Oryctolagus cuniculus: one gene and its partner. The protein of the gene in region 1 interacts with the protein of each later gene in a biochemical or structural test. Links are inferred from orthologs where the notes say so. Each region holds a gene or a part of one and is shown on either strand. Other genes may lie near its edges.

Evidence for each region.
Region 2: the proteins of FGFR4 (region 1) and FGF19 form a complex in vitro, tested with the Homo sapiens proteins (2 studies listed by BioGRID and IntAct). The link is inferred for Oryctolagus cuniculus from reciprocal best matches to the Homo sapiens genes FGFR4 and FGF19.

The regions. Positions count from the first base shown.
Region 1 is NC_091437.1:63,119,064-63,122,857, forward strand, and holds the end of FGFR4 (fibroblast growth factor receptor 4), read left to right. Parts: intron 1-1,054; coding exon 1,055-1,165; intron 1,166-1,256; coding exon 1,257-1,447; intron 1,448-1,768; coding exon 1,769-1,891; intron 1,892-1,972; coding exon 1,973-2,043; intron 2,044-2,175; coding exon 2,176-2,313; intron 2,314-2,550; coding exon 2,551-2,656; intron 2,657-2,735; coding exon 2,736-2,882; 3' UTR 2,883-3,352; downstream 3,353-3,794. UniProt on the Homo sapiens protein: Tyrosine-protein kinase that acts as a cell-surface receptor for fibroblast growth factors and plays a role in the regulation of cell proliferation, differentiation and migration, and in regulation of lipid metabolism, bile acid biosynthesis, glucose uptake, vitamin D metabolism and phosphate homeostasis.
Region 2 is NC_091432.1:3,209,798-3,214,155, forward strand, and holds the start of FGF19 (fibroblast growth factor 19), read left to right. Parts: upstream 1-1,289; 5' UTR 1,290-1,408; coding exon 1,409-1,649; intron 1,650-1,871; coding exon 1,872-1,975; intron 1,976-3,785; coding exon 3,786-4,097; 3' UTR 4,098-4,358. UniProt on the Homo sapiens protein: Involved in the suppression of bile acid biosynthesis through down-regulation of CYP7A1 expression, following positive regulation of the JNK and ERK1/2 cascades. Stimulates glucose uptake in adipocytes. Activity requires the presence of KLB and FGFR4.

The DNA of each region.
Region 1 (3,794 bases):
CCCGCAGTCCAAGTCTGCTCTGACGCTGGCAGGTCGCTTTCAAGTCCGTCTCCCCTTGCGTCACATGGGGTGAATAATAGGGCCCCTACCTCCCGGCCCACGGTTCTTGGCGAGTGCCTGGCACATGGTCAGGGCCCATCAGATCCTAGCCGTCGGGGCAAGGATGATGGTGAGGATTTGGGGTGACTGAGTTCTGTATCCTCCATCAGTTCTGCCAGTGTCAGCCTTGGCCACAGGTCTCCTTGAACCTCGCATCCCCCATGGTCCCCCAGACACACCTGCAGCCTTCCCTGGGCCCTTCCCAGGTCTGGCCTCTGTGCCCAGCACCCTGGAAGAGCAGCACTTCTGCGTAAAGTCAGTGCCAGACCCTAGGAGCTGCCCACTGGAGCCTTTTACTGCCTTCCCCCAGCCCCCTCTCCCAAGGAGCCCAAGCCGCTCCTCTCCCCCCTCCGCCCTCCTCCCTCCGGCCCTCTTCCTCCCTCCTTCTCCTGTCTCAGAGCAGCTGGGGCCACCTGGCACTTTCTGGGAGGCAGGGATTGGGAAACAGCCTTGTGATAGTGGCGTGCGTGGGGGTGGGGGCGGGGGCGGGGGCGGGGGCGCTGCGCCACTGACCCGGGGCCGCAGGTCAGTTCCGGAGCCCGGCCGCTGGTCCTCAGCCTTCTCTCCAGCCGCTCCCCTCTCTGAGCTGTGCTGGCAGCTCCCAGAATTCCCAGGCCGGATGGATGCCAGGCCCTGGTCAGACAGAGGCCTCAGGGCGCCAGCCTGCTTCCCACCCCCGCTGAGGGACCAGCGCCAACCCTTCCCAAGGCAGCTTCCTTCCTGTCCCAGCTCTCCCCGTCTCCCGTCTCCCGTCTCTCTCTGGAAGGCCTCCCTCTTTCAGATCCTCAATGCCATTGCATCCTGAGAGGGAGGGCTGATCCACTGTTGGGTTCCGCACGAGTGAACCCTGAGGTTCCGAGAGGTTACGCACAGCCTGGTGGGGATGCAGCCGCAGAGCTGCCCCTCCCCCGCCCCGCCCTGAGCAGCTAGATGGCAGCTTCCCCACCCATTGCAGACAACGCCTCAGACAAGGACCTGGCCGACCTGGTGTCTGAGATGGAGGTGATGAAGCTGATAGGCCAGCACAAGAACATCATCAACCTGCTAGGCGTCTGCACCCAGGAAGGTGCGGCTGGGCGGGGCTCGGGGCACGGGCAGGCGCTGGCCGGCAGAGCCGCCTGTGACCTCAGTGGCCTCTCTGTGCCCCTCCCCGCCAGGGCCCCTGTACGTGATTGTGGAATGTGCGGCCAAGGGAAACTTGCGGGAGTTCCTGCGGGCCCGGCGGCCCCCGGGCCCCGACCTCAGCCCCGAAGGACCGAGGAGCAGTGAGGGGCCACTGTCCTTCCCGGCCCTGGTCTCCTGTGCCTACCAGGTGGCGCGCGGCATGCAGTACCTGGAGTCGCAGAAGGTGTGGCCGCGGCCATGCTCTGGCCCCTCTGCCCTTGCCCCCCTCATCTCCCCTTTCCCGTTGCCGCCTAAATGTCCCCAGAGCTTCACACCCCTGCCCTTGGCACTGCGCAGCTGACACTTCCTGTCCCCATTTGGTTCATCCTGACCCAGGGGCAGGGCTGGGGAGAAGACCCAGGCCCTGAAGCCAGACGGCTTAGCTCTCCCTTTCCCAGTCACAACTTCCCCATCTGTAAAATGGGTGGAAGATGCATGTGCCCAGCTCCCAGCCATGTGTTCCTGTAAACCCAAGCCCCGTGTCACATGCCTGCCTTTCCCCCAGTGCATCCACCGGGACCTGGCTGCCCGCAACGTGCTGGTGACCGAGGACAACGTGATGAAAATCGCCGACTTCGGGCTGGCCCGAGGCGTCCACCACATTGACTACTACAAGAAAACCAGCAATGTGAGGGCGGCGGGGGCTGGGGGCTGGGGGCCCAGGCCTGGGGCTGGCGGGACTCCACCAATGCCACCCCTCTCCCTCCAGGGCCGCCTGCCTGTCAAGTGGATGGCCCCCGAGGCCTTGTTTGACCGAGTGTACACACACCAGAGTGATGTGTAAGACCTGCGACCTGAGGTCGGGGTGCCTGCCAGGGGTCATCACCCCCAGCCCTGTGTAGCCCACACCCGCTGGGCCCCCTGCAGTGGGCAGGGGAGCTGTGCCCTGCTGATCCTCTGTCCTGCCTCCAGGTGGTCATTTGGGATCCTGCTCTGGGAGATCTTCACACTTGGGGGCTCCCCGTACCCCGGCATCCCCGTGGAGGAACTGTTCTCACTGCTGCGGGAGGGCCATCGGATGGACCGGCCCCCACACTGCCCCCCAGAGCTGTGAGGCTGGCCCACACTCCCCACCCTCCAGTCCTCAGCCCCTGCCTTGACCTTGGCTGGTCCTGAGGGCAATGCCTCCTCCCTCTCTTCCCCTCCCTTCCCCCTCCTCCTCCTGGGTCCAGAGGGGAGGCCTAGGCGGGGTCCCCGCCCTTCCACTGGCTGGCCCCACCCACCGCTCCCCCTCCCAGGGCCACGAGGCCCCTCCCCCAGGCCTGAGGCTGCTCCTAACCTCCCCAGGTACGGGCTGATGCGCGAGTGCTGGCACGCGGCGCCTTCCCAGAGACCCACCTTCAAGCAGCTGGTAGAAGCGCTGGACAAGGTGCTGCTGGCGGTCTCTGAGGAGGTACTGCCCCCTGCCCGCCCCGAGCCTCCTGCTGCTGCCCACTGCGCTTGCGCAGGCTCACGTGTTCTGTTCCCCGCAGTACCTCGACCTCCGCCTGACCTTTGGACCCTACTCCCCCTCCGGAGGAGACACCAGCAGCACCTGTTCCTCCAATGACTCTGTCTTCAGTCACGACCCCTTACCATTGGGGCCCAGCCCCTTCCCCTTCCCTGGGGTACAGACGTGAGCAGGGGCCTCCTGGCTCAGCCACAATCTAAGCACTGTTTGACCTTGGCAATCCGGGGGCCCTGACCTTGGGGTGCCATTCCAGATCTCTGACTCCACTCTGGGGAGGTCGGTCTTTAGCCCATGGGTCCAGTTGAGGCTTCCCGCGCTCTGGCCCCGGGTTCCCAGCCCAGAGTTCAGCCCTGGGCATGAGGCCCTGCCCTTGGGGTTCGGCTGCCAATGTCCCAGTAGCCTGAGTGTTGGCGTCCTGCTTAGGGGTTTGGCTGGGCCTGGCTCCAGACTGCTCTTCTGAACCTGCTTCCCAACAGCAACAGAGGTTTGGAGATCGGAACCCTATGTCCCCAAGCGCCCCCACCCCGATCTTCCCAGCTCTCGGTGGAAGGAGCATTGACCCCTGTGCCCCTGGGAGGCTGGGAGCCGAAAGCACAGACACAAATGGCCTTTTTATAAATTATTGTTTTTTGAAATAAACCTGTGTATGCCTGGTGTCTTTCCCCGAGGGGCATGGAGGGAGGGGGTGCAGGATGGAGGCACTCCTGAGTGACACAGACCCAAGGGGCTGAGTGCCAGGCCTCGGGTTTCCAGGAGTCCATATGGGCCTTGGCCTTGGCCCCGCCCATCCTATGCCCTGCCCACATATGTGTGCATGCATACGTGCAACTTGTCTGTCCCCAAGGGAGCTGCTGGCTTTCCCCCCCCCACCACCTGTTCAGCATTAACCAAGCTGATCAGCAAAAACAGGACAACCTGAAACCCTGCCCCAGCCCTGCCGGCTCGCTCCCACGCGCTGGTGGTGGGGGCCGTGCCCACCCCCCGCACTCCCGGCCTGGCCAGTCTCCCAGCAGCAGCTGGCTGCTGCCTGGCTGGACTGCAGCTGTCCCTGCTTGCCTGGCCCTCTGTTGGGGAGGCCTTA
Region 2 (4,358 bases), on another chromosome or scaffold:
GGCTCTTCACAAAAGCCGGGGAGGGGAGGGGACAATTCGCTTGAACAGGAGCCGCCGCCGTGGATTGAAAACCACAGGGAGGAAGTAATTCGGTTTCATAGAAGCCGCGGCTTTCTGAACCCAGACACGCAGCGCGGGGGGTCCCCGGCCCACAGGTCTTTGTCAAGACCCAAGCCGGTGAGGGGTCTCCGCGCGCTCAGGCATCAGCGCGGGTCACCGGCTGCGAATGACCGCGGCCCCGCCGGCTGAAACCCACCAGGCCGCTCGCCCGTCCCCGAAGTGGCCTCCGGGGGGCCCGCGTCCACCAGCCCGGGGCGGGGGAAGGGGGGAGCGAGGGCGCGCCGAAGCCCCCCGCCGGCGCACGCTCCCGGCGCCGCGGTCTTTCTCTGCCGGAGCTGCCTGGCGGAGAATCTCCGCCCCTGGACCACCCAGACGGGGCCCTCCCCGACCACGCTGCCTGCGCCCCCCGCCCAAGGCGCCCGAGACGGAGGGGAGCGCAGGCCCAGGAGAGCCGGGGCTGCGGGGCGCGCGATCCCGGGCGCAGCGCCGCGCGGAGGCTCCTAGGGCGCAGGCGCCATCTAGCGCCCGCCGGGCCCCGGACTCGCCCATTGTCTCCCCGCGTCCGCGCCGCCGCCCGGGAGCGCGCCCGGCCCCCCGTCGGGGGGCGATTTACCCGGAGAAAGGGGGCCGGGGCGGGGAGCCGGAGAAGAGAAAGCCGGGGGGCTGGCGAGACGGCCGGAGCGGCGGGCGGAGGCCCCAGCGGACGTCGCCCGCCGCGGGAGGCGCGCAGGGCCGGGGCTGCAGGCGGAGGCGGGGCGGGGGGCGGCAGGGAGGGAGGGAGGTAGCGGGGTCTTTGCAGGAGAGGGGGCCCCGAGGCCGGGAGTCGCGGGATCCCTGCCACCACACACCCTGCGCGCCCGCGAGACGGGCTCCAGACGCCTGCTTGCTTTTAGAAAATTAAGCTCGCCAAGCCAGGCATCCCCGGGCCGCCGCGCCGAGCAGAGTGCCCCCCTGTCCCCCCGCCGCGGGACCCCTCCTCTTCTCCTCCCGCTCCCCGGCGAGCCGCACAGCCTGGGCGGGGTCACCGCCTCGGAGCCACCGCCCACCTGCCGGGGTCGGGGCGGGGGCTGGGGCCGTGGGCGGGGTGTGAGTGGGTGTGTTCGAGGGGCGGGGGCCTGCTGCCATCCCGATAAGAAATGCCTCGGTGCCGCGGGCACCTACCCGCCGGGCCAGGGAGGCGAGCTATATAAGGCCGCGCGCCCGGAGCCGCCGCGCCGTCGGAGCGGGAGTGCTGCGCGCCCAGGCGCCCGGAGCGCACGGCCGGCTCGAGGGCCGCAGCCATCCCGCCCTCGCACCCCAGCCTCCTGCATCCCCTCCGCAGCCGCGCCGCCAGCTCCCGGGAGGTGCCATGCGCCGCGCGCCGAGCGGAGGTGCCGCGGCCCGCGCCTTGGTCCTGGCCGGCCTCTGGCTGGCCGCGGCCGCGCGCCCCTTGGCCTTGTCCGACGCGGGCCCGCATCTGCACTACGGCTGGGGCGAGCCCGTCCGCCTGCGGCACCTGTACGCCACCAGCGCCCACGGCGTCTCGCACTGCTTCCTGCGTATACGCGCCGACGGCGCCGTGGACTGCGAGCGGAGCCAGAGCGCACACAGTGAGTGCCGGCAGGCCCCCTGCCCCCACCCCGCAGCCCCCCTCACGCCCGGGATCCCCATGCTTGGGCACCCGGGCTCTGGGACCCGTGCCCAGACCCCCATCCCCCCCAGGCAGCGCCCAGAGCGAAGGGGGGGGGGTTCCCGCGCGGGCACAGGCGGCACCCACGTGTTGTGGGCTCCCGCGGGTGCCAGCTGTGGCTTCTCGCTTTGCTTGCGCCCAGGCTTGCTGGAGATCCGAGCGGTCGCCCTGCGCACCGTGGCCTTCAAGGGCGTGCACAGCTCCCGCTACCTCTGCATGGGCGCCGACGGCAGGATGCGGGGGCAGGTAAGTGTCTGGCGTGCGGGGTGCGCCCCGCGCCAGCTCTCGGGATTTCTTGGCTCCCTCTGCGGCGACCCGCGTGGAGCCGCGGGGCGGGTGGCGCCGGTGTCCCGCGTTGCTCTGCGGTGTGAGCAGCCGCCTGTGTGTCTCCTTTGAGGCCGCGGCGGGCGCAGCTGGAGGGAGGAAGCCCATTGATATGAAACAGGAAAGCGCCCACCTTCAGCCGGGGCTTGCGCGTGTGTGGTCCTCAGCCTCCTCCCCCCGCTCCCCCCCCCCCCCGCCCTCAAGGGTAAGAGAAAAGAAAGAGAGAGGGGGAAAAGGGCACATCTACAAATTACGAATTTTTAAAATCTCCACCAACTCCGGGGTGTGTGGGAGGCAGTGCATTCGGCACTGGCCAGATGTGCTTCCAGTTTTCCACCCGAGAAGGCGGCCGTGCGGTTCAGATGCGGGCGAGCCAGCAGCGCATTCCCGCGGTGCCGCGGTCGGGGCGGGCGCACCTGTGCCGAGAAGGCGCTCGGCTGGGGGGGCTGGGGAGATCCAGGTAGCCGCCGAAAGCCGCGGCAGGCGCACACTTCCTGCCGGGGCTCTGGTCCCGGGAACAAAGGCTGCGAGTTCAAAGGAACGCGCCCCCAGGCCCCAGGCGCGCCTGGGGCTGTGTGAGGTCCCCGGGGGCCCCCAGGCCTCCCACACACAACACACAGAGCCCTGGGCCCCCGGGAGGAGCGGGGCCAGGGCACGAAGATGCAAATCTGGCCCGGGGCAGGCCTTTTGTGAGCCGAAAGGGAAGCATTAGCGAGTGTGACATTTATCTGTGCAAAAAGAGCGAGACGGAGGAGGAGGGGCGGGGCTGAAAGCCGACACCGGAGCCCCTGCCGGCCCCCTCCCCCGTGTCACTTTTGTTGTTTTGACGCTAATGGGTGAGGGGGGGCTCGGGGCGAGGAGAGGGGGAAAGGGGCTCTCCACCTAAAATCCCTTCCTGCCTGTTGAGCTCACTGGCGCGGCTGGGCACACACGGAGACTTAAAAGTCGCGCCGTCTCCTGGGAAGGTGAACCCCTTCCATTCTTTGCAAGGAGAAAGGATGTCGGTTTCTCCCCGCCCCGGACATCCGAAATATTTCCATTGTTCATCTGTTCATTCACTTTTTTTTTTTTTTTTGAAATGCAAGAGAACTCACTGCCGCTGCCAGGCAGCGCCGCGGCGGCTGCGGCTTTGTCCTCGTGCCCTGGTGGCCCGGCAGGAGCCGGTGCTCGGTGTCTTATCAGCCCATGGCTCACCACCTGCAGTTCAATGACCTCGGTGGATGGAGGCTGACTGGGCCAGGGCTGCAGCCACCGCCCAGCCCCCTCCCGGCCCCGCGCTGTCCTCTGGCCCCCACGCGGGATGCCACCTCCCGCATCTCGGCTCCGCCCAGGCTGCCTGCGTGCAGGGCCAGGGACAGATTCCCGCCCCCGCCTCCCTCCGGCACACATTTCCGGTCCTCCCGCTGGGTGCAGCCCCCTCCCTCGCCTGGGGGGAGGGGCTGCTCTTCCTGGCAGGCTGCCTGGGCCCTCTGGGGGGGGGGGGGGCCTGGGATGGCAGCGGGCCCGGAGGTTCCAGCAAGCTGATTCTTAGTGGAAGGCTCCCTCACAACCGGGCTTACCGGTGTTCTCCCCAATGCCAGTGGTGACAGAGGTGGGCTGAGTGCCTGTCCCGCCTGTCAGTGGTAGGGCTCAGGACACAGGTGGGGCTGACAGATGGGGAGAGGGAGGCCCTGGGGCAGCCGCAGCCCAGGCTCACTGGCCACCCCGCCCCGCGTCCCCCATGTCCCCGCAGCTGCAGTACTCGGAGGAGGACTGTGCCTTCCAGGAGGAGATCAGCTCCGGCTACAACGTGTACCGCTCCACGACGCACCACCTGCCCGTGTCTCTGAGCAGTGCCAAGCAGAGACACCTGTACAAGACCAGAGGCTTCCTGCCCCTCTCCCACTTCCTGCCCGTGCTGCCCATGGCCTCCGAGGAGACCGCGGCCCTTGGCGACCACCCTGAAGCCGACCTGTTCTCCCCGCCCCTGGAAACCGACAGCATGGACCCCTTCGGCATGGCCACCAAGCTCGGGCCGGTGAAGAGCCCCAGCTTTCAGAAGTAGACGGTGGGCGGAGCCCGAGCGCCTGCAAAGACAGCCCCGGGTCTGGTCCCGTCGTAGCGTTAGGAAGAAGGCTTTAGAGGTTGTACATATTTGGAGTGTCCCCCTAGTGTCTAGACCTGTACGACTGTAAAACTGCAAAGCCCTCCATCTGCCTGGCTGCCCCGAGGCCCCTCCCTGGACACCTTGCCGTGTGCCGTGCTGCTCTGGTAGGCTTGAATGCCCTGGCCGATGGGCAGCTCACTCCCTGTCCCGTCGCTTTCA